Coturnix japonica: one gene and its partners. The protein of the gene in region 3 purifies or fractionates together with the protein of the main gene of each other region. This does not show direct contact. Links are inferred from orthologs where the notes say so. Each region holds a gene or a part of one and is shown on either strand. Other genes may lie near its edges.

Region 1 (3,939 bases), on a different chromosome or scaffold from region 3:
ACCACTTTCTGCCATAGGAACTGCTAAACTTAGAACCCAATGAAAATTAGCACAGTGACTTTACAGAAGTAACTTTTGTACTAAAATGGACTGTAATATTGATGTTTCTATTGATCGCTTTTACTTGCATTATTGTGACTCCAAGTGTGCCAAACATTCGTAAGGACTGTGTAGTCAGGGAAGTCAGAAGCAAACATGTGACCCAATGATATGTGGTCAGTTTTACAATATTAAAATCACAGTCTGAGATAACAAAGAGCTCATTATCAATTTACAGTTCCATAAGCAAGCAGAGATTTTTTAAATAACAGAAACACTAAAGGTTACAGGGGACAGAAAAAAGCACAGAACACAAAGATATTCTTAAAAGCATCTGAGCTTTTAAGACACAGACAGCTGATAGCAGCACTGAAACTCTTGTTATTTTTAAATTGAGTCCTTTTCATTTCTAGCATGCAATGAATTGATATGACATTAGCTCACACCCTTCTGTGTGACACAATAAAGCTCTGCTGGCTGCTCTTTCCTCAAGTGTGTACAAATTCCGCTCCACAGTTTCTAACCCACTCCAGTCAGCGTCAACCAGGAATTGCATAAAGAAGCTGCCACGTTCACTTAAAAGATGTCTATTTTACTTCATGGTGGTATTGACCTTATAGCTCAGTCTCTTTCTACTTATAAAGGAGCAGTAAGGCTTATGCCCATAGCCTGACTTGCACTGACACCTGAAATATTGAGCTGTTAAGCAAATTGACTCTGTACAAGCTGGTGGAACAGCAACAGCACACAGTGCTTTGCAATTGGTGAGTATGGGATGGCAAAGAAAATCCTCATTTCAGATACAGCTCTCACTGTGCTTACTCTGTTATGTGAGTCACTTTTATCGCAATGCCAAAAGGGTCAATCAATTTATTCAATGAAAACTCATTAGCAGTATGAAGAGACTACAACGAAATTGGGGCCACGTCCTCTTGCTGCTGCCATAAGATTTTGTATTCACAAAGGTTGCAATGGGTGCAGCAAGGAAAGCAGCCCTGCTGAGACACTGTGGGTGTTTGCAAATACTATAATAGAACATGAAGAAAGAGCTGCCCATGGCATTTTGTGCAGATTGGAGCTCTGCGCTGCCTCTGAGCTTTGTTTTGATGCCTTAGTACAATGGAGTAATGCAAAGAAGTCATTTTAAAGCTCTGCACCAAATCAAAGTTGAGATTTATACCACTATTAAAATGAGAACTAAATGATCTTTCTAATGGAATTCTTAAGAGCCTCATGCCACCCTCTCAGATCTGCTCCTGGCTGTGCTTCAATCTCATGCTTTTCACTTCCTTGCCTGAACTCCTCAGCAGCGGTTTTGTAAATTGTGACATATCTAATATGCTTCATCCTGAAAAACAAAGTAATATTACTGCTTTATCCTTCTTTATTTCCCAGCAACCTGACAGAGAACCTTTCATATTTTAATCTGAATTTTATGCTCTGATCACTAGCTAAAGTCTATGAAGTTAAAAAAAAAAACCCAACAACTTACACAACAGTATTATTTAAGAGGCATATGCAGCATGATTTGTTTTGTGGACTGGGAACAAGTAAAGGATGCCAGAAATCTTGTAACCATACCAATGTATTTAATACACAAAGAGAGTGAGTTGCACACATCTGGAGTCTGTAAATGCTCTCTGGGCACAGTACAGTCAGGAGCTCAATACATGCCTACACTTCATGGGGTGGGCCCAGCAGCAGCACCAAGATGGTCAAGTGGCACCCCTTGTTTACATGGGACACCATTTGTAGGGGCAGCCAAGCAGAAGCAGAAGCTGATCAGATGGCTGCAACACCTCTCCTGTGGACTGGCTGGGGGAGCTGGGGCTGTTCAACCTGGAGATGGCTCTGGGGGACACCTCACTGTGACCTTCCAGTACTTAATGGGAGCTTATCAACAAGAAGAGGAACAACTTTCTACAGGAGGGACAAGGAGAAGGTGGCTTTAAATCAAATGAGGGGAGATGTAAATTAGATGTTAGGAAGAAATGCTTTACTCAGAGGGCTGTGAGGCCCTGGCACAGCTGCCCATAGAGCTGTGGGTGCTCAAGGCCGGGTTGGATGGGGCCCTGGGCAGCCTGAGCTGGTGGGGGGCAGCCAGCCCACGGCAATGAGTGGGGCTGGAGGCTTTGAGGTCCTTTCCAACCCAATCCATTCAACGTCTCCACGATCAGCCCGTGAAGCGCCCGCAGACCCTGCAGACCCCGCCGCCCTCACAGCGCTCCTCGCTCCGTTACCTGCTGCACGCCGGCCGCTCCCGCGTACAGGTCGAGCACCAGCAGCAGGGGCACGTGGGCGTTGCAGCCTCCGAACAGCCGCGGAGCTACGGGGACACGGAGAAGCCGCGTTAGGGCCGGGCGGAGCGGGGTCGGGAGGGCAGGCGGGCGGCGGCCGCCCCTTACCGCTCTGCCGGGCCGCCAACTCCAGCATGTCGCTCAGCGTCTGCACCACAGTCTCCGGCCGCTTCCTCTCCTGGACGTTGCGGAGCCGGACGAGCAGCTTCCTCAGCGCCTCCTCCTCTCCGGCCGCCGCCGCTCGTTCCCAGGGGCAGCCGCTGGCCATGGCCGCGTCGTCGTCCCCCCGCGACGGGCTCCTCACCCCATCAGACGCGGCCCGTGGGGACGGAGAGCCAACGACGCGGGCCCGTCCCGCCGCTCGGCGTCACCCGGCCTCACCCGGCTATTTCGGGCCGCCCCTCCCCGCGCTCCGGGTGCACGGCTACGGCCAAACCCCGCGGGTGGGAGGGAGGTGAGGAGGGAGCAGCGCTGCCGCCATTAGGGGGCTCCCTCGAGGGCCCGCACGCTGGAGGCCAGCTCTTTTTCAGTGATTGACAACACGAGAGTCCAATAGCTGCTGGCTGAGGGTCGTGTGAGGGTTGGGTAGTTGGTGCAAACGTTGGCAAGAGCTTCTTCTTGGCACAGTCTGCATGGAGAGCTTGTGTTATCCTTGTGTTGTCCTTATCTGGAGATTTCAAAGCCCACCTGGATGCTTTCCTGTGCAGCTTGCTGTAGGGAACCTGCTTTAGGAGGGGCTTGAACTCAATGATTTCTAGAGGTCTCTTCCAACCCTTGAAGTTCAGTGATTCTTAGTGGAAGCTGGGGCAGGAGCTGTGACCTTTCCTGAAGCTGAGGCAGCTGAGGTGATGCAGAGGGCCTGGAGGAGCAGGTTAACCTTGGCCAAGGAAGGCATGTGCTTGCAAGTGTTTTGGCCCCATGGGCTTGGTTAGGTCTGTGGGTTTGCTTGAAAGAAACCTTTGTTGCCTGTAGAAGTAAAATTTCACTCTAAGCTGTGCAGTGAGAGTTTGCTGTTGTGAGATAAGGAGGTTCTCCTGCCCTGAGCGTGCATTGCTTCACTTGTGGTTGATGCAATCTTCCTGTAATCTGGCAATGCTTCCGGCACCTCAGCCCCTTTCCTGAGGGAAAGTATGTGGGCAGCAGCACCTTTGTAAACAACCTTCAGAAGAGCAGTACAAGTGGTGTGTGTTACATAGAGGAGTTGTATGCGCTTTGAGTATTAATTAAGGGAATAATTAAATTGTGAAATTGGAAGTACAGTTTGGCAGTTCATGATAGGAGTATGGATTTGCTTGAAGCTTGTGCTCAGGTTATGGTGTTTGATTGATAGAAAAGCGTGATTGAACAGCTGATTTACAGGTCATTAGTTTCTCAAAATAAGCTCTAAGCGACTGTGTTTGCTGATGCCTCTGAACACTCTTGATACTGGTGGATTGGTCCTGAAAGGCTCAGACATTGCTGCTCTCATCATCTGCACAAAGAAACTATTGTCTCGGCATCCCAATTACAGTCTGCTAATTAGGGCTCAGTTTGTTGAGTTATGTGCTGGTAGTATCTCCCTCTCTAAAGCACTGGGAGACAAAATGTGAGGCAGCCTTATGAA
Region 2 (4,107 bases), on a different chromosome or scaffold from region 3:
TCTGTGTTCAGTGATCATGGTCCACAAAGGGCTGGACAGGAGCAAGGTGCAATTCACACACAGAGGGAAATAACTCTAAACAGGGGACAATAAAGAGTTAAAAATCACTGTATGTTCAACAGGTACCATGACACAGCTCCACCTAAGGGCTTCAGGGAACCATTCCAAGGACACTCATGTCACATTAATGGAAAACTCCGTTGGCATTACCTCTTCAAAGTGGCAATTTCTACTCATTAAAAATCTCCTTCTGTTTTCTTATTTCCTAATATCAGTTGGCTGCTCAACAAAGTGCAAAAAGACTGTCCATGCCCTCCTTGCCCTCAAATTTCATCCTAAAGGCGGAAGATACAGTAGGACAAGGCACACTGGGGAAAGTGTAAGGTGAACAGTGAGATGCAGGGTGTAGTTTAGGCTGGATCTGTAAAAAAAGTTAAAAAGAAAGTTTAGTAATGATTCCTGCTGGAACAGGTTCTCCAAAAACCTCAGCCTCAGATCATAATTGGTAGTTAATTAAGCTCCAAGGAGCAACACACGCAGTCAATAGCACTACCCACAGGAACACCAATAAGCTGAAACAACCATACAATGGCCATTCAGGCCGCCTGAGACCAGATGAGAGAGGACACCCTCTATCTGCTCAGCAATGGGATGCTGGGTACTCAAGAGACAACTGGAGGGCAAAGAAGTGAAGTTAAGGAAGCACTGATGGGCTCTTCATCTTATGGTTACATTTCAAGAGTTTAACCAGAACACAGGGTTGAAGTAGGTATGAAAATGCCGCAAAGCAAATGACATGAATTTGAAACATACATCTACATGGAAAACTGAAGTTTTTAGGTTTTCTGGTGGTTAGGAGCCTGCAAACCACTTGACAGAGGCAAATCTTTGTTTGCCTGATCAACCCCGGTGTCTCCAACAGAGCTGTGTGTGATTGTGGCCCAAATTTCTAAGATTCAGAAAACACTGCATAGATTTTTGGTCTTTGGCCAGTCTTGATTATTGCATCTTGTAGGAGTAAATGTAGCTGTGAGCAGTCATAGTGAAATTTCCCCGGGGACAAAGAAAGCACTATTTTTCTTGATGCTTTTGTAGTCACTGCCTCAGTGTAATTCTCCTTTTCTTGCCAACATCAAAGCAGAGTGGGAGAGAAGTTATTCCTCCAAAGGCAAGATAAATCCTCCCAACTCTAGCTTCTGAAGGCTTTGACTTATGACTCACAGTGTCCGATGTGAACTGAAGCTGTGCTCTCAGCCCTAGATTCAACCCAACACACGCTAAAATCAATGGGAGCCTTTCCACTGACTGAAGGAAGCAGGGTCACACCCTGAGCAGACGAGAGCCACGCTCCTAACAAAACCACCCTCTGCTTTTGGATGGCAGAAAGTGCAGCGGGTCTCAGAATGGTGGGGATGCCTGAGGTCAGGGATTGTCTGCAATGATAAACCAATGCAGGCAAAAATGAGTGGCCAGCACACCTGTCTGCACTGACCCTGTGCTAGCACTATCAGCCCAGACAAAACAGAGTCCAGAGCAAATATTTGTCAAAAACGTAATGACAGCGGATCTTGGCAGAGGTCAAAATCTGGCCCTGAGTGGAAAATGTAAAATAATTAGTCCATCTTCAAATGAAGTCTTCAAATAAAACAAACACAGGCCTAAAGAAATGAGCTCAGTGCAGCTCAGAAGCTAGAAAACACTTGCATCAGGCTTTGCAGAGAAGCTTTATGCTTGTTGAATGCGCAGGTCAACCCAAGACTCCTGAAAGAAGGGGTGCAGAAGTATGGACAGTGTCAGAGTGCATTGTACATCAGCAGAAAAACACTGAATGTGTCATGTTGGTAAGGAATTGATTATAGGCAGGAAGAAGCCAGAAGCAAAACCAAACAGTGATCTTTTCAAGGTTGGATGATACAGCAATTTTGGGTTGCTTTGCACCTTGGCTTATTCCCAAGCTGATGCAGTTATCTGAATAACTTTGGGTGGGAGAGGCAGTGTGGCAGCCCCGTGGGCTGGTACATGTCTGCGTGGTGACTGAGGGACCTGCACACAGGGACTGATTACAGTTTCCGTGGCTCCAGGCTGAGGAGACACAGGCCCTCCTGCAGGCTGCTCCTTCCTGCACTGATCTTCCACCCAACCAAGAAACCAATGCTAACAACAGGGAGGTCCTGCGGGGCCAGGCAGCCTGTGCAGTGTGTGCGAGCACTGAGCACAGGTACCGACTGTATGATCAACCGTGTGCCGCATTCGCGTTTGGAGGAATGGGGAACAGCAGGGAGAAGGTGACTCAAGCTCATTTCTCCTAGCTCTAACGGGAGATTATTTTTCACATCACACCGTGCATTTGGGGCTGGGGGCGCTCAGTACGGCTAAGAGTAGGACGCAGCACTGGGGGCTGCACGCACCCACACACACACGGAGCGCGGCCGCCTCCTGCCAGCCCCTTCCCTCCCTGCCCCCGTGACAAGCCGCCCCCCGCAGCCCCGCCTCCCTCGCCTCGGTGGGACCCCGGCCCCTTCCCCCGCCACCTACTTCTTGCAGGGGATGAGCGCCTTCCTCTCCTCCAAGATGCGGAGGCGCTGGTTGAGGCCGTCGTAAGAGACGGCGGCCCGCGTGTTGCGGCCCGTGCCGTGCTCGTAGCGCACGCTGCGCCCTTCCCACTGCCCCGGCGCCCGGCACGGCTCGGCCCCCGCCCCGCCGCGCAGCAGCAGCAGCCCGCCCAGCAGCAGCAGCGGCAGCGGCAGCCCGCCCGCCGGCAGCGCCATGCTCCGAGCCGCACTGCGAACCGCCGACAGAACGGAGGGGGCGGCTGAGGGAAGGAGGGGCGGGGGCGGCCCGCCCCCAGCACAACCCGCATGGCTTGCGCCGGCAGCGCGCTGCGTGCGCCGTGTGTGCCCTGCACCGCACAGACGCAAAATGTCGCCTCGGGATCCTGCCGGTGGGCACCGTGTATCCCCTCACACACACACACACAACATGTCGCCCGGTGCCGCCAGCGGGGGTTACACGGGCACGGGGGGGTTGCTGCGTGGAGAGAACGGGCTGCTTCCCCACAGGCGCTGTCACAAAGCTCCCACTGCCCTCCCCGGGGCGCTCCGGCCCGCCGGACTCCGTGGGGGAACGTGGGCAGCGGAACGTCCCGCCGGGCTCGGGGCATGGCAGGGCCGGGCCAGGGTTCCCCTGCATGCGCTAAGAGAGGGGCGTATGGAGAAGGGACACACCGAGGGGTTCCCCTTCGCAGTTGGCGACTGCTGAGGGGTTTGTGGCTGAGGAGAACAACGGGCACCGAGCGATCCCCTGCGCGCCCTTCGCCTCCTCCCGTCCGCACCGAAACTTTCCGCTGTGGGACGGCATGAAGGGAGCGCAGGGCTCAGCCCGCAGGGGACGGGAGCGTGTGCGTTTGTTTGGGTCCGCTCCCCCCCCTTCCACGTCCAGGAAGGCGTCGCACGGCTGAGAGGGGCGCGGTGATGTCGGCGGGGATTACGGCGGTGGCGGTGATGTCACGGTGCCGGCCCGCCGCTCACACGCACACACACACGCACACCCCCAGCGGCGCGGCGGGGCTGCCCGGGCAGCAGCTCGGTCCCACGTCACGCGTGCCGCCGATATAAATGCCGTCCCGCGATTTCCATGGCTGTCGGCGCCGCTCCCGACACCGAGTGCGGCCGGACCCAGGGGCGGCGGCGGAGGAGGCGGCTGAGGAAGAGGCGGAGGAGGAGGAGGAGGAGGATGCTGCGCGCCTTGGTGGCCGTGTCCCTGTGGCTGCGGGTGAGCCCGCGGGCGCAGGGCGCGCCGTGCGAGGCGGTGCGCATCCCCATGTGCCGCCCCATGCCCTGGAACATCACCCGTATGCCCAACCACCTCCACCACAGCACGCAGGAGAACGCCGTGCTGGCCATCGAGCAGTACGAGGAGCTGGTGGGCACCGGCTGCAGCCCGGTCCTCCCCTTCTTCCTCTGCGCCATGTACGCTCCCATCTGCACGCTGGAGTTCCTCTACGACCCCATCAAGCCCTGCCGCTCCGTCTGCCAGCGCGCCCGCGACGGCTGCGAGCCCATCATGCGCCGCTACAATCACAGCTGGCCCGACAGCCTGGCCTGCGAC
Region 3 (2,033 bases):
AGCTGTGTCTTGTTGGGAAAGACTGATCCAAGAAGCAAGTGCTATGTTTGCACAGTGGTGTCTAGCAAGTACATTAGAAGTAAGAATGGAAGTAGGTCAGATGGGAGGGAGCAGGGATGCCTCCAAGGCTTTAAGAATATCTTACCAGTACAGTTAAGTTCTGTGATTAATTCCCCACTATAAACTGCAACTCTTTTCCCTTGTTCTAGCTCTTTGTTTGCATCACCCATAGCAACTCTTTCTTTCAAAGCTACGGTGCAGGCTTCAGAGCCAAGCATTTGATTGCTCTTCACAAATGAATAACCCCGAGGTGTCTGCTCAGAGCCCAGGTTATGTGCAAGAAACAGACTGGCACAGAGCTAGCCTTACTTTTACACTGAGAACCACCTGACATAGAAATCATGTGCTCTTGGCCTGGATCTTCTCCTAACTTATAATCAAGTTCCAGTTAACAGAGTAGAACAGTTATGATTATTAAACAGCCACAAACTCATCACCAGTGAAAGAGTGGCAGTATTTATTTTTTTCTCCACACTACAAGCACTTAGGAACATGAAACAGAAACCTGTAACAGAAGATGCATTTGCTAGAGTTAACTGTACCACATAGTTTTCTTTTAGTTAGAAGGAAACTGGTTTTTGTTACATAGGCTACTACAAGTTAGGAGGCTGCTTGGAATACTGGATGGCATCTAGCGCTGCCCCGATGTCACAGTTCTTTGTCTGCAGGAGTCGAGTGAGCCATCCACCCTCGTCAGAGAAGCCCATGGAGAGCATCTGGGACAGAGACTCAATCAAGCGAGGGTCTGCTTCTGTCAAGAGAATGAGTTTGAAGTTAAAACGCTTCACATTATTAGCAAACCAGCCAAGGCTGTGGTATCACATGGTGGGCTGGCACTAATCCTAGCAGATCTAGCATAGCTGACAAGCGCTGGAAGACACTTTCCTCTGTATCCTATGAGGCAGACATTTTGAGATACAGCATATGTAACCTGCTAAGGAAGCAGCTGAGTTAGATCCATCTGTCCTTGCTGTAAACCTCATTGCCAGTGGTTTCAGTTAAGTGACCTGGCAGACTCCTAACTAGCTCTTGCCAGAAAAGTGTCTTAAGTTACAGGATGTATTGTCTACAGCCTGCATTAAAAGGCTCTCCAAGAGTACACAGCAAGGACACTGATTAGAGGCCACCTCTCTCATCCTGCTCAAATGGCATATTAGTACCAGTTTAAGACTTGCTGCCACCATTCAAGCAGAGAACATGCCTGTTCCTAACAGCATGCAGAGTGCTGCCAGAGCACAAGTTACAGTTTAACTTGTCTGTATGTGAGCTTGGTTCCTAAGCAGGTTTGCTTATATTGGACAAGTTGGCAATAAGTGAGAGCAACTTTAACTCACGTGCAACCTGCATGCATTCTCGTACCTGGTGGGAGATGTGGGTAGAGTGCAGCCTCTCTCAGCCCTGTAGGTCCTGCCTGGGGAGCTTCCTGAGCTACATCTAGGGAGCTGGGATCATCTGTCTCTGGCATTTGTAGAGACTGCAGTTCACCTGTGGAAGGATCCACTTCTTTGGAAGACAAGTGGGTCCAGTCCTCGTCACCCCCTGATGAACTGCTTGACTCACTGTGTGCCTGAAATGGAAAGAAAGGAGGTCCAGGTGCCGTAGTGCTTTCCAGGTAGGATGCATGCTCTTACTATCTGCTTTTAATAGGAAGAATTACATTTACAACAAGTCCCACCTTTGCTGTAAACCAGTAAAGCAAAGTGCCATATATTCTCTATCTGCTGACAACTGAATCATCAGTCCCTCAACACATACTGAATTATTTCCTTTTCAGTAAGGCCTCAGCAAGCGTATTAAATTAATGCAGTGTTTCTTGTACCTGGGACTGGAGGCTGCCATCTTCCATTTGTGTGGGCACAGGATCTATCACCATGTCTTGTATCTGCTCTGTAACATTGTTTACTACCGTTGCAGAATCTGTGCTATTCCAGCATGGTTTGCTCTGACTGTTCTGATTAGCAGTACTGCTGCTT
Region 4 (3,500 bases), on a different chromosome or scaffold from region 3:
CTCTACATACCTGAGGTCTGTCTACGACCGTCTGTACTGTGATGGGAGTCGAGGGCTGTACCTGCTGGGTGATAATTCTGGCAGGTGAACTCTCACGACTTGATGCCCCTCTCTGAGTGGCTCTGAATGGAGACTGTGCTCGTGCTGTCTTAGGCTCCCTGTCATCTGGTTGAATTCTGGGAAATACAGGTTGGTGGGCTTGGAATTCACTCTGCTGGGCAGGGTAGTGTGTCTTCTGGGCCTGATGGTAGCCTTGCGGTGGTTGCCTTTGGATATTTTCATGGATCACAGGAATTGAAATATAGCCACGGGGAAGCTGATGGCTTCCTGAATTGGATCTGCCAGATGACTGAGGTGGAACCGTTTGAGAATCAGAAGCTCCAGGAGACTGAGGCTGCCATGAAAACAAAATCCATTATTAAATCAGCTGTTTCAGCTCATAGCACTTTTCATTTTCAAAGAGAAATGGAAACTGAATTTGTGTTCCCACATACAAAAGATCTACGTCCTTGGTTTGGGTTTGTGTTGGTTTGTGTTCTATTTTTTTTTGCCTTGCTAGACAAACCACAGAAGTTGTGAGAGAGCATCATTATAACAAGTAATAACCTGAGCTACAGCATTCCCAGCCCTCAAGTAAGCAGGGAGTGGATGCTCACTCAGAATGTTTTCTGTTTTTACATGGCTACTCCTGTCTAAACCTGTTAAATGTGAGGCAAACTAAAGTTAAGCAAACAAATTATGTACTGCAGACAAAAAACAAACTACTCAGAGGCACACAAAGTTCAGACTTCTGATCCCACTCATGCTAACAGATTTATTTACTTCTTTAAGCATGTAATTTAGTGCACTGCCAAAGCCTGCTATGTGTGGCTAATGCCCCTTGACCCCTCACGAGACCTTCCAGCACATCAGCCCTGTTGGCACCAGGAGTGATAGCTGCACTAGTGTAGATTTGCTGTAAGCAGGAGCAAGTGCTGGGGATACACCACAATTCAGCTTCTGGTATTTCAGGTTATGGTTCCACAGCATCTGGGGAAAGGCAGTTTATTTGCTCACAGCTCACTCCTTCTCTACTCCTGCTGTGCCAGTCCATCAACTCACCTACTATGGACTATTCTCTATACTTTAACCCATGAAGGAGAGGAAAAATTATTTCCTGACAGGTTTATTGATATCTCAGTGACAGGCCAGGTAAGACTGGAGTTAGCACAGGAGGGAGAGCAGGACAATGTAGCTGGAAGCAACAAGTAGGCAGGCAAGGTGAGAAAGGATAGGGAACAAGATGTCTTTTGTGCTAGTTAATGCTCACCTCTGCAGCTCAGCAGCTATAAATAAATGCTACTTTTTCTACAGGCACCAGCACTGCTGTGTCAGTGCCCTGGTCAGTTAGTGCCCATGCCACCTAAGTTTGTGATGGCAGCTTCTCCAGTCCTCAGCAGTTATCTCAGAGCACATGAGATGGAGAAGACTTTTCTGAAGCAATTCTGCATGTAATACAAAAGTATATTCCCAGCTGCATTAAGTTGAGAGAAGGAAGAACTAAGCCTCCCATCCTTGCACTTCATGGATAAAGCAGCAACAACTGAGGAAAACTGCGAACAGGATTTTAATTGTCTTGTTCAGACACAAAAACAGGTTTTAGAAAAATATCTGCCACTGCCGACATGAAAAATTCCCCATGTGTTTTCATGCTGATAGAGGCTCGATTTCCTGCTTATTTTACTTGGAACAGAAGTGAGATTAGTGCTTCAGCCTATTACAAGAATACTGCTCCTGCTAATTCTGAGGAGATAACAGACAAACCAAAATCCTGCCTTTTGAAAAGCAAAGCAAGGAGGGTGACTCTTTTTAAAGCAGTTCATGTATTATAACATACTACAAAATAACAACAAAAATATTTCCGAATTCACTTCTAAATCTGTGTATGCAGATCTATACAATTAATAAAACCAGAGTATTAAACTGGAAAGCAGAATAGCCCTGTTTCTGAAACAGCCTAAGCTGTCAGCTAATGGGACACTTGTATTTTGTGTCTCTCCCCTTGCTCACCTGTTTCCCACATAGGGAATGCAAGAGATCTGCCTGCATTCCCAGCTTGCAGAGTAACCACTCTAAACCCTACAACAGCCCTCACCTGCCGCAGGAGCACCTGCACCATTCACAGGCTTTTTTATAGAGAAAATTTTCACAGGCTTGTTTCTGTGCAAATCACTTGATAACAAAAGCTGTCAATGCCGGAAAAATGTGAAACACTTCTGCTGAAGTGACTGAGCACTTTTGTATTTCAACACTGTGGAAGTATTGGGAAAATGTAATCCTGTGGCAGGTTTGGCTTTCCAAAGGATAAAGTACTCGTGTGACAGTCAGGTCATACATGGCCGCAGAGACCAAGGCACACACACCCCAGCAGTACTGCCGAGTTACCTCAGGTCCGTGTGTCGCTGGAGCTGGGGCTGCTGCAGCTGCTGTTGTCTGTCCACATTGTTTATCTGCCTGGGAAGCCTCAGCCGGCCCCCTATGAGGGGACTCAGGGCTGGCATAGGCCCCCCTCAGTGGTGGCTGTGCCTGCGCTGTGGTGGGCACGGCTTCTGCTTTGTACCGCTGTACGCCGGGCTGTGGAGCAGCAAAGTATGGGTGCTGTCTGCTGTCGATGCCCTCGTGGATGACTGGGATGGGGATGTAGCCAGCCCGGAGCTTGGGGTACACCACGTTTCCTTCCCGTGCTGGCATCTGCCTGGGACTATCTTGAGATGGGCCATTTGCTGACGACTGGCCATCCTAGAAATTAAAAACATCACATAGCATTTGTTGGTAGCTCAGCTCAACATACCACGTAAGAAAGCAGCCATAAAGGTCTGTCTAAAAGAAGCGTCAGCCAGGCATGAGAAGCTCAGCTCCTCAGGTCTGTGCAAGGTCAGCAGGCAGGAGAAAGGAAGCTGAACACCAATTAGGTATGAGCCTTTCACCCTCAGTGCTGATAAATGCTAACTGAGGCACTAAAATACCACATTACAACAGGGATTTTCTGTAGCGCTCACTACCTGCATACAGCCATGAGTCCAGCTGCCTCACCTGGTACCATGCTAATTAAATGAGAGCTTCAGGGACCACAGATGTTTCCTTAACACCCCTTCAAATCCACCCAGCGTTATAGATAACAGCAGAAAAGAAACTTAGAAGATTTATCTCATCATAGAGCAGTATTTGTTGGTATTGTGCTTCCTACTGCCTATCTAGAGTTACTGCTGCTTCATTCTGAAGAAGATACTCACAGCCAAGAGAGGATCCACTTCAGCAGATTCCAACAGGATAACATAATGAAGAGGAAAATGCTGGAAGGTTAGATAATATTAATTCCTGTGCTGGCCAACTGCACTCACTGGACAATGTCAAAGCTCTGGCAAGGGGGAAAGTGCTTTGTACCAAGATCCCTCCCAAGTCCTCTATTAAGTTCTTCCTGCATCGGTCATTCTATTTTGAGGCCCAGCTAGGGCCAAGTT
Region 5 (2,665 bases), on a different chromosome or scaffold from region 3:
GTCCCATGTAACAGGCAGTTAGGTTCATATTTAGATAAAAAGGCCATTATACCTATTTACAATATACACAGTTGCTTGCGAAGAAGGCAGATTTACAACTATCTTCTAAAAAGCCTTCCCTTCCCTCCCACCCCCCCACCCCAGTACAGATGACTAGCTCTACAAAAACAAGACAAGAACTGGTGTTTAGGATAAGTGAGGGTTTTCTTCATAGCCATGTCAACAGCGAGATAGGGGTTGACAGTTCTACTGTATCTGTAGTTATTAACCATGTCTTCCTGGGCCTTGCTCTTCACTTCAATGTGCCGCTCATCTCATCACACACCTTCCATCAACACAAATCAATTCAATGATCCCTTATTCTTTCAGTGCTTAAAATGCAGTATAAACTTAAGTGTAAACAGACAGTATTCTACTCCCTTCTGATCGCAGCACAATGCTCACATTAGTTCTCAGGGTGACAGCAGGACTGTACAGGGTCTCCATTTACCACCATCTTGTCAATTCCTGGGCCCTTCCTCTAAGCCCCGCTCATGCTGCAAGTTGTAGAAACAGTTCTGGCAGACTCTGACCGGTGACGAAATCTTCAGACGTTTGATTTCAGACTGAAACCGACTGCACCTAAAGAGGAAAACACCACCGTGAACACTTGTCCTCCCACAGCCTCACTATTTTCTTCCCAGATGTGGAAATTATCATTGTGACTTCAAACACTTCAACACCATCCAAACAAATTTTGACAGACCGTGTTATGTTTGTAGACTGATAAGATAAACTACTTGCTGAAAAATAAATATATTCTCCTTTGCTATGTTAATTTGTCTATAATTCATTTCTTGATTTCAACCTCAGTTGACACCTATGTTAAGCTGACAGCTTCACTGTTTATATAAAGGAGCGTGTCTGCTTTTTCCAACTCTCCCCTGGAAATTTTTACAGCACTGATGGTTTGGTTTCTTTTTGTTTGGTTGGTTTTTTTTGTTTTTTTAATCAGTTCTGTTTTGATAAGGGAGAGGAAATCTCAGTCTGTTTGTAGGGATCAGTGGTATGCAATAGCCTGAATTTCTCTATGGGAAAGAACGTAAAGGAGGCTGGTGCTAGCTTACTTCTGACAGAAGAGCTGCCCACAGTTCCTGCAGTGGTGACGCCTCTCTGTGAGCGAGAATCGGACTGCACAACCTGAGCAGCTGTCTCCTCCCTCGTCCTTCACCCAGTGGTCGGCTGCTGACCGGCCCGGCTGATCACTCACAGACCAGCTGAACACTCGGCCACGGCCATCCCCAATGAGAATTCTGCTGTGATCCCTGTAGGAAAAAAGTAAAAGCATTCTCCTGACAATTCTGGCCCAGTAAGGCAGAGACAGCAATGGCTGATTTTAGATGTCAGAATATTTAATAATGTTTTTATGACCAAGATACCAGCCTGTTCTCTAAACAAAAAAAGCGAACACAAAACAGCATTATGCGAAGAACTGTGTCTGCATCCTTTGACAACACTGAAAAAATGCACTGTGTGATCACCTGTGAGCTACTCACTTGGAGATGCCGAGTGCGGTGATTTCTGCTGGATGTGCGTTATCTTTGCGATCAAATGCTGTGTGCATAGTTAGTTTGCTCCTAAACACCAACTGACGCTCCCATCGGTATCCTAGAAGAGCACAGGAAGGAGAGAAGGGAAAAAACAAATCTGCTCATTCTCATTTCTAAATCCTCCTCCCTCCCCAAAATACCCATGTGCATCCATTTGTTGAAAGGAAACATCTTAATCTCTCCAGATGCTGATAACTCTCAGAGACTCACTTCCCATTCAGGGAAAATACACTCTCAACTGCTCTCCAACGCATCCAATGAAGGAAAAAATGCAATGCAAAGCAGAGAGTCCTGCATTTCACCAAATGCATCTGACATGCAGAGAACACTGACAAACAGAGTGGAGTTGGCACTGAATATCAGCAGGTATTCTCTTCCTCACCCACCAGTAAGTAGGCTGAAGGTGTGCAAGAAACTCAGAAGTAACACAATCTGGACAGCTGACCTCAACTGACCAAAGTACATTCCATGTCATATACAGCATCATACTCAGCAACCAAACTGAAGGAAGGGCACTTTCTGATTAAGGAAGCTGTTCACTCCAAAACTGGCTGCACAACAGTCTGCTGGCAGGAGGTGGTGAGAGCCTTTGCATCACTTGTTTTTAGCTTTTATCTTCCTCTTTAGTTTGCTTAGTAGACTACCCTTAGCTCGACCTTTGAGTTTTTGTGCTTTTGTCCTTTTGCTCTTCCTATTCTCTCCTCCCATCCCATTGCAGCAACAGTGAGCGAGCAGATTAGCTGCCAGCAGGGTAAACCCATCATCATTTCTCAGGAAAAACTCAAACAATGTGCAACACCTCAACACAGAAGCTTCTCACCAATGGCTTTTGAATTTATCAGCCATCACTCCTCAAAGCTGCAGAGATAATGCCTTCTGGGTCAGTGCTAACAGCAAATTTATCCAGCCAAGGAAGCGTACTCAACTTCTTTTACCTGGTTTAAGCTTGCTGTAGTGCCGTGCTTCAGCATAGCTGGGGTGCAGGTGGTTAACCTGAGCATGGGGGTGTATTTTTGCTTGTCCTTCAGAATAATTCACAAAGATAAAGCCATCTTTCTCATCCAAGCTGAGCTGGT
Region 6 (4,300 bases), on a different chromosome or scaffold from region 3:
TTTTTATGTTTGGATTGGAGGGGGAATCTCTCTCATTTGAGCTCAAAGCTGAGGCATAAAACGCCGGTTCCCACAGTGATACAATACCATCCGTTCTTTTATCCACAGACGCATTCACTGCAAGTTTGACAGCATCTTTAAGGTTAATGGCAGACTGATAAGCAGCGTGTATCATGTTGTGGTCCATTTCTATTACTGGGACAAAGGCCTCTTTTATTGATGTTCGTTGCAGCGCTGCTGCTCTCTGAAATGAGAAACGGAAAATCTCATGCAGACCATCTTGTGTGAGAAATACAAGCAGGTGACCTTAAATGGGCTGAGTTTTGGGCATTTATCTCAAATGCAAAAGAGCACAGGTGACAATCAGGCAAAGCCGTGGCACAATTTCAGCAGCAGCTCAGCAGCACATAAGCGTTACTTCCTGATACCTGGAGCAATAAGAAAGCTCTGCCTCGCAGCACAGAGATGTAACTCCTCCTCATGGAGACGAGTTCTCTCCCTCAGTGGCCTTTCTGCACACAGCAGAAATAGTGGCAGAACTGGGGAGAGGTGGAATCGCAGACAGCACTTTGTTCCAGTGCTCTTTCACTCGTGTTTGTGTATTTATCAGTACATCTTGTTATAGGAGGTTCTTGCATGTGACTGCTTTATCATTTGACTAAAAGGATTTGGAAAGCAGGACGACCAGGGCAGTTCTTTATGAATCTATATTCTAAAACCCCAAAGAATCAGATTTGAACCTAAAGGACACGTTACCTTTAAAAAGAGAACGTCATCCCCTTCGGTCAGTGCCATCTCAATCTGGTCTCTCAGAGACTGAATTTCATTCTTCTTACTTCCCAGAATTTTATATATGTAATCGAACTTATTGCAAACTCTTTTTTCTTCTTCCATAACTACTTTTAGGGTCTGGTTTTCTTTTTCTTCAATTAAAGCTTTAATTTCCATAAACTCAGCTCTCAGCAGATCCCGCTTTCTGGCAGCTGTCTCCTGGAGCAGACACAAAAAGGCAGAAACTGGCTTCAAACCAAGTTAGGGGGAAAGCGCTGCTACTGTGGGCATGTAAACTCCAATTACTCACAACTGGCAATAGAAAAGCTCTCAGCACACACACCAACCCCGGCCATCAGGTGAGAGCAGGGCTGAGCTGTGCTCACTTGTGGAAAAGAGCTCTCCCACATTTCTGCTGTAGTGCAGCCGTTGCTACTCACTGCTGCTTTAGGTTGGGCTGCACAGATGCACAATCTGTGCTGCAGTGGGAATGGATGGGTTCATCTCAGTTACTCCCGTGTGGGTGCGAACCACCCCTGTAAGGAGGCTGTGTTTGTTCCCATCCTTAGGGAGCTGCCAAAACGGCTCTTTTCTGATCCTTCTCAGTGAGATTTCTTCCTGACAAGGCAGTTTCAGTACAAGGACTGCCACAAGAGCACAAACAACATTCAGGAGCCAGCACACACCAAGCAAACAGCGCTGTAACTTACAGCAGCTTGACTCTGGATTGTTTTCACAGAGTTCATTGCTTGCACGGATCTTTCACTCTGGTTGTGCAGCTCCACCAGCCTCTTCTTCAGTGCAGCCTGCAAAAGAGGAGAGCAGAGAGCAGCTTAGAAAAGGCGTTGCCATGCTGTCAGTCGGGTCATGGTTACTGGAGTAAGAATCACAGTAGGGAGTTGTTGATAACCACTGTAAGCATTCAGTACCACCCGTTTAAAACCCATTGCTCCTTTAGCAGTGCTGTCGTGCACGCACACAGTTTGTGGGGTCAGCACCCCCATAGCCACACCTTTCCAAAAGCAAGATGGGCGTCCTTGAGTCACTGCTGATAAGGAGAACTCTTTCATCAGCGGAGCAGCTCCCAGCGCTGCAAATAAACTTTGCTTTAGCTCTTAGCCTGGACTTCGGGCACTGGGTAAATACTGCTGTTCACCCCTCGTTGTGACAGAGGATTTTTGTTCTCAGATATGATTGGATCGCATCTGAGGAATGCTGCTAAGCGAAGTCAGAGGGGCTGTCTTAAGTTAATCCCGGTATCTGGGCAGATCGCCCCAGGGAGTGTCTGCAGGGAGCTCAGCTCGGGGCTGCCCCGTTCTCACCTCGGTTTTATCTTTGGCCTCCTGCAGCGTGCTGGTGTGGCACGGCTTGTGGCTCAGCAGGCACAGCGAGCAGATGCAGCAGCCGTGCTGGCTGCAGAAGAACTCAAAGAGCTTGTTGTGCTGCGGGCACTTTCTCTGCTGCAGGTCCCGCACGGGCGGGCACAGCCGATGGTCGCGGAACGCCGGGCTGTCGTGGTGCGGCCGCAGGTGCTCGGGGCAGAAGGAAGCCATGCAGGTGAGGCAGGTCTGCGTGGCGGCCGCCTGCAGGCAGCTGTCGCAGTAGATGAGGGTCGCCGCCTCCCGTTCTTCCTCCTCGCTCTCATCGTCCTCCTTGCCGTCCCCGGTCCCGCTGCCCCGCATCTGCTCCACCACCCGGCACAGCACCGTGTTCTTGCGGAGCTGCGGGCGGCTCGGGAAGGTGGCGCGGCATTGAGGGCAGCTCAAGTCCCGCACCTGGCCGGCCCAGGTGAGCTCCAGGCAGGAGGCGCAGAAGTTGTGTCCGCAGGGCACCGTCACGGGGACGTTGAAGATGCAGAGGCAGATGGAGCACGTCAGCTCCTCCTCCAGCTCCAACAGGTTCGGCTCCGACTTAGTTCTGCTCATCGACGCCATTATCCCGCTGCTGCCTCCAGACCCCGAGGAAACGAAACTGGGGCTGCGGATTTCCGTAAAATTACGAACCATCTCCCCGCCTCGAGGGGCGCGGCGGGTCCGCCCCGGGTTGAGCCCAGCGGGGGCGGCGGACGGGGCGGGACGGGCAGGCGGGGAAGCAGCGCGGGTTGCGGTGTCCCGGGGAGCTGCGATCCGTGCGGGCGCTGGAGCGGACCGAGCCGGCGAAGTACGTGTGTGCGGTTTTCTTGCGTTGTTCTGAGCAAAGGCAGCACTGACACTTCAACACTGAAAGGGCAAAAGGGTTCGGCTGTAAAGGTTTCAGAGCACACTCGGCTGAACACGCTGGGACACCGTTTTGTCTGGGTTCGTTTGTATTGTGCTGGTTCTAGGCTGAGTTCTGTCACCAACACTGTTTATCCTCCTCTCTAAATTACAGAAGCATAAAATCCTTAAACTTTTCTTGATGTTTTCAGGTGAACCCTGTATAGAACTGTAAGGTCTGGCCATTCATGTCATGCTCTGCAGTAAAGAACCATGGACGTCAATATATTTTTCTTTCAATGCTGGATTTTAATGATCCTTACAACAAGTTCTGTATAGCAGTTACGCTGCTCTAGACAAAACAGGACACAGCAGCAGAGCCACAAACACAGCACAAGGTCATCATTTATATTTTCTATCAAACTATTCCAGTTTTGCCACTCACAAAAGTAGAATATAAAAACTAAGATTCTATTAAAAAAAATAAATCAAACCTACATTAAATCTATAACAAACAAAGCATTCTTGGATTAACACAAAACCATCTCTTAAGAAAACAGTGTTTATTTTAAAACCATTTATGGAAAATAACCAGCAGCGCATTTGCTGCCCTCAGAACTGGACGGCAGCATCTCATGAAACAAGTCCACACAAGGATTTACTCGTGTTCACATCTCAGACTGCTCCGTTTTCAGTGCCTGATCCATTCATTGGAGGCTCAACGATCAATCTGGGCTCAATCAGCGAATCCCAACTCTCAGTTATCTGGAAGCAAAATCCAACATTAGCGCGTACAAGGTGTACAGGCAGGTGCAATTTCTTCTGCATCACAAGTTGTTTGGATGTGAACAGCAGCAGCACAGAACAAAGGTCACAGATCATTGCTCCAATTCAGTGATCTTCATCAGCCTTAACCTGCTGATGTGCAGGTAGGAAAACCAGAACCTCATGGAGGTTCGTGGAGCCAAAAAGTTACACAAAGTGGTGACTTTCTGAGTCTAATTAACTGAAATAATACGCAAGAGTTTATTATCTCATGATAATTCCCATTCTTGTTAGAAAGGATTATTTTTGCTTTCATTTACTTTAATGAAACGCTCCATTATAAAAGGACAGCATTGTAAAGCAGGGAAACGTGTCAGCACAACCACGCGGCAGCCTTCAGAACAAGGCAGGCACGTACCTTTGTGTCCTGAGGCACAGCGTATTCTATCAGCTCGGCCCCATCTGCAGACTGATAAACCAGATCAAACTTCCCTGGTTCTTTAGCAACTTTTGAAAACACAGCAAAAAAACCCACTTAGTTAGTATAAACAGACAGGAAAATGTTTACA
Region 7 (2,477 bases), on a different chromosome or scaffold from region 3:
CCTCTGGCAGCCCCCCCGTCTATCAGCAATACCTGGGGGGCCAATCGAAAAGTCTCTGCTTATTCCAGCTGATGGCCAATCTCTCTCTATTTAAGCCTCTCAGACAGCTAATCTAATCAATATTGCAAGGAGGGCTGCATTAGCAGCGAGCGCAGAGCGGCTGTCTGAGCCGCGTTGATGGAGAGGGGAGGGGGCGAGGGGCCGGACCCACCTGAGGAAGTGGTTGAGGTCTCCATGCTTCATGTACTCAAAGACCATGATGAGTGGGTCACCCTCGCCACACACACCATAGAACTTGACGATGTGCTCATGCTGCAGGTTGGTCAGCAGCTCTGCCTCCCGCTGGAAGTCCAGCCGTGCGCTCTCGGTCACCTCCTTTAACGCCTGCAGGCACAAGGCGTTAACATGGCACTGACCAGCCCAGGACCCTCATCCCCCCCAACCCCTTCACCTTCACAGCCACCAATGTCTTCTCCTGCTCTGGAAGGAGGTGGGAACACTCAGCCAGAAAGACTTTCCCAAAGGCTCCCTCGCCCAGCTCCCACTTGAGCACAATGTCACGGCGCTGTACGTGGTGCACACCTGGGGGACCCACATCCATCAGCCCAGAGCCCCCACCGCAGGAGGACAATGGGGAGCAGTGGGGGATGCTGAGGCAGATGCATCCCCAGCCTTACAGGCATTGCAGAAGTACTGTGGGTTCTCAATGAAGTTGCTTTTCAGCCCGTCCAGCTTGCTCTCTGTGGAGGACACGGGGCTGCTGCCCAGGTTCATGAAGTGCAATGACATGGCCAGGTCATCCTCCTGGGCCAGCACGGCTGAGCCTGCAGGGACAGGGGCACATGAATAGGGCCATCACAGAGGGGTGAGGGGTGCTTTGTGCAGCAGTGCCAGGTGCTGCCGAGCATCCCCCCCCCCTCCAGCCCCAGGGGAAGTCAGTGCGATCAAACCCATTTGCAGGCTGAATCCATTCCAGGAGTGAATTAGCAGCTGCTGCCCGCACTGCTTGGCCCCGGAGGAGCCCCATTGCCACCCAGTGCCCAAGGGGGTGCCAGGCAATGGGGACCCATGAGGACCATTGCCCCATGGCTGTGCCCCTACCCGGTGCAGGAAGAGGGGACTCACGGTTAATGCCGAACTTGGAGCGACGCCCGCACTTGTTGAGCGCAATGAGCATGACAGAGAGGAAGAGGGAGGCAAAAACAGCCAAAGCCACAGCCACGGAGACCTGGGGACAAAGGGAATGGTGAGTATGGGGCTGGGGTCCTGCTGCAAAGCCAAGGACAGCACCCTTCTCCAAGCCCTGGAGGTGATTGCAATTCTACTGGGGAAACTGAGGCACAGCGGAGGGCAGGAGGCTGCCTATACCCCATCCCATCCCACCTTGCCTTGCCTCTGGTTTGCTTTCACTTTAAGGACTGCTTTGCTTTCCCACAGGTGTCCTCATGCCCCTTACCCCAAATCACAGGGCACCCCATCCCAGTCAAGTCCTCACCCCAAATGTGTGCTCATCCGCTGTCTCCATAGGGCCCTCCAAAGAGCTGTTCCTGGTACCTGTGTGGGGAGAGGGCACAGGGTGAGCGTGAAGTGGGGGCACATCCTCACTCCTGCACAATCACTGCAGCCTCATCATTGGGCATCACCACAGCTGGGGGTTAATAGCAGGGGTAGCAGCATGCCCCAGCACTCACCCAGTGGAGATATAGACACTGTGCAGCATGGAAAAAGGAAAGAGCACACATTAACCACCTCCCCCCCATAAGAGAGTCCCATGTTTCCTTCCCAATCCTTGGGGAAACTGAGGCACGGGAGGGGGACAGAACCCCTTGGCAAGGTGGGAATAGAAGTTTCGGTGCCTCCTGTGTCAGGATTAGGGCAGCACATCTCCTTCAGCCCCACTGTGACCCACCGGGGATGGGCTCCTCAGGGCTGAAGCTGAAGGGGTTATCCATGAAGCGGCCCTGGATGCTGCGGGTGGCTCTGCCCAGGGGGTTCTGCACCACGAGGGTGTAGTTGCCGTTGTTGACATGTGTGGGGCGGTTGAGCTGGAGGCAGCCGTGCAGCGTGGTGGAGTTGGGCTCATACTCCACAATCCGCGTATGGATGTAGGGCCCCTCAAGCAGAAACGTGCCATTGAAGAGCCAAAAGATGCTGGGTGCTGGGTTGCTGTCCACTGAGAAGGGGATGCACCAGAAGTGCTGAGCGATGGCCTCGTGCAGGAGCAGAATCACCGGTGGGACTGTGGGGACAGAGCTGCCTGTGTCCCCAAACATGCGTCCCCAAATGTGGGACCCCCAAAGCTGACCCTCATACCACCCCTGGCCCCCCAATCCTCCCTCTCTCTCCCCATCCCCTGGGTTGCTTACAGGTGACATTCAGTATCACGCTGTCCTCTGCCAGCCCCGCTGCATTCTCTGCCCGGCATGTGAGGTCCTTGTGGTTCAGGCTAGATGAGATGTTGTTGATCTCCAGGACAA

What was found.
Region 1: the proteins of SQSTM1 (region 3) and LRRK2 purify together in Homo sapiens (affinity purification with western blotting; 3 studies listed by BioGRID and IntAct, with this or other methods). This does not show direct contact. The link is inferred for Coturnix japonica from reciprocal best matches to the Homo sapiens genes SQSTM1 and LRRK2.
Region 2: the proteins of SQSTM1 (region 3) and EPDR1 purify together in Homo sapiens (affinity purification with mass spectrometry; 3 studies listed by BioGRID and IntAct, with this or other methods). This does not show direct contact. The link is inferred for Coturnix japonica from reciprocal best matches to the Homo sapiens genes SQSTM1 and EPDR1.
Region 4: the proteins of SQSTM1 (region 3) and BAG3 purify together in Homo sapiens (affinity purification with western blotting; 3 studies listed by BioGRID and IntAct, with this or other methods). This does not show direct contact. The link is inferred for Coturnix japonica from reciprocal best matches to the Homo sapiens genes SQSTM1 and BAG3.
Region 5: the proteins of SQSTM1 (region 3) and WDFY3 purify together in Homo sapiens (affinity purification with western blotting; 4 studies listed by BioGRID and IntAct, with this or other methods). This does not show direct contact. The link is inferred for Coturnix japonica from reciprocal best matches to the Homo sapiens genes SQSTM1 and WDFY3.
Region 6: the proteins of SQSTM1 (region 3) and TRIM25 purify together in Homo sapiens (affinity purification with mass spectrometry; 3 studies listed by BioGRID, with this or other methods). This does not show direct contact. The link is inferred for Coturnix japonica from reciprocal best matches to the Homo sapiens genes SQSTM1 and TRIM25.
Region 7: the proteins of SQSTM1 (region 3) and NTRK1 purify together in Homo sapiens (affinity purification with western blotting; 6 studies listed by BioGRID and IntAct, with this or other methods). This does not show direct contact. The link is inferred for Coturnix japonica from reciprocal best matches to the Homo sapiens genes SQSTM1 and NTRK1.

Annotation. Positions count from the first base shown.
Region 1 is NC_029516.1:13,510,102-13,514,040, forward strand, and holds the start of LRRK2 (leucine-rich repeat serine/threonine-protein kinase 2), read right to left. Parts: upstream 2,801-3,939; 5' UTR 2,605-2,800; coding exon 2,445-2,604; intron 2,366-2,444; coding exon 2,280-2,365; intron 1,388-2,279; exon of another isoform or gene 1-1,387. UniProt on the Homo sapiens protein: Serine/threonine-protein kinase which phosphorylates a broad range of proteins involved in multiple processes such as neuronal plasticity, innate immunity, autophagy, and vesicle trafficking.
Region 2 is NC_029517.1:42,215,026-42,219,132, forward strand, and holds the start of EPDR1 (mammalian ependymin-related protein 1), read right to left. Parts: upstream 2,801-4,107; 5' UTR 2,769-2,800; coding exon 2,536-2,768; intron 1-2,535. Other genes in the region: SFRP4 (secreted frizzled-related protein 4), read left to right, coding at 3,634-4,107. UniProt on the Homo sapiens protein: Binds anionic lipids and gangliosides at acidic pH.
Region 3 is NC_029528.1:4,620,861-4,622,893, reverse strand, and holds the end of SQSTM1 (sequestosome-1), read right to left. Parts: coding exon 1,880-2,033; intron 1,628-1,879; coding exon 1,420-1,627; intron 812-1,419; coding exon 654-811; 3' UTR 501-653; downstream 1-500. UniProt on the Homo sapiens protein: Molecular adapter required for selective macroautophagy (aggrephagy) by acting as a bridge between polyubiquitinated proteins and autophagosomes.
Region 4 is NC_029521.1:27,000,255-27,003,754, reverse strand, and holds part of BAG3 (BAG family molecular chaperone regulator 3), read right to left. Parts: intron 2,779-3,500; coding exon 2,425-2,778; intron 395-2,424; coding exon 11-394; intron 1-10. UniProt on the Homo sapiens protein: Co-chaperone and adapter protein that connects different classes of molecular chaperones including heat shock proteins 70 (HSP70s), e.g. HSPA1A/HSP70 or HSPA8/HSC70, and small heat shock proteins (sHSPs), e.g. HSPB8.
Region 5 is NC_029519.1:41,833,713-41,836,377, reverse strand, and holds the end of WDFY3 (WD repeat and FYVE domain-containing protein 3), read right to left. Parts: coding exon 2,525-2,665; intron 1,648-2,524; coding exon 1,536-1,647; intron 1,305-1,535; coding exon 1,107-1,304; intron 622-1,106; coding exon 501-621; downstream 1-500. UniProt on the Homo sapiens protein: Required for selective macroautophagy (aggrephagy). Acts as an adapter protein by linking specific proteins destined for degradation to the core autophagic machinery members, such as the ATG5-ATG12-ATG16L E3-like ligase, SQSTM1 and LC3.
Region 6 is NC_029533.1:7,752,743-7,757,042, reverse strand, and holds the start of TRIM25 (E3 ubiquitin/ISG15 ligase TRIM25), read right to left. Parts: upstream 2,801-4,300; 5' UTR 2,778-2,800; coding exon 2,094-2,777; exon of another isoform or gene 1,578-2,093; coding exon 1,482-1,577; exon of another isoform or gene 991-1,481; coding exon 757-990; exon of another isoform or gene 245-756; coding exon 88-244; exon of another isoform or gene 1-87. Other genes in the region: COIL (coilin), read right to left, coding at 3,642-3,731, 4,150-4,238.
Region 7 is NC_029540.1:688,349-690,825, reverse strand, and holds part of NTRK1 (high affinity nerve growth factor receptor), read right to left. Parts: coding exon 2,367-2,477; intron 2,240-2,366; coding exon 1,910-2,239; intron 1,555-1,909; coding exon 1,496-1,554; intron 1,229-1,495; coding exon 1,126-1,228; intron 825-1,125; coding exon 678-824; intron 583-677; coding exon 452-582; intron 385-451; coding exon 212-384; intron 1-211. UniProt on the Homo sapiens protein: Receptor tyrosine kinase involved in the development and the maturation of the central and peripheral nervous systems through regulation of proliferation, differentiation and survival of sympathetic and nervous neurons.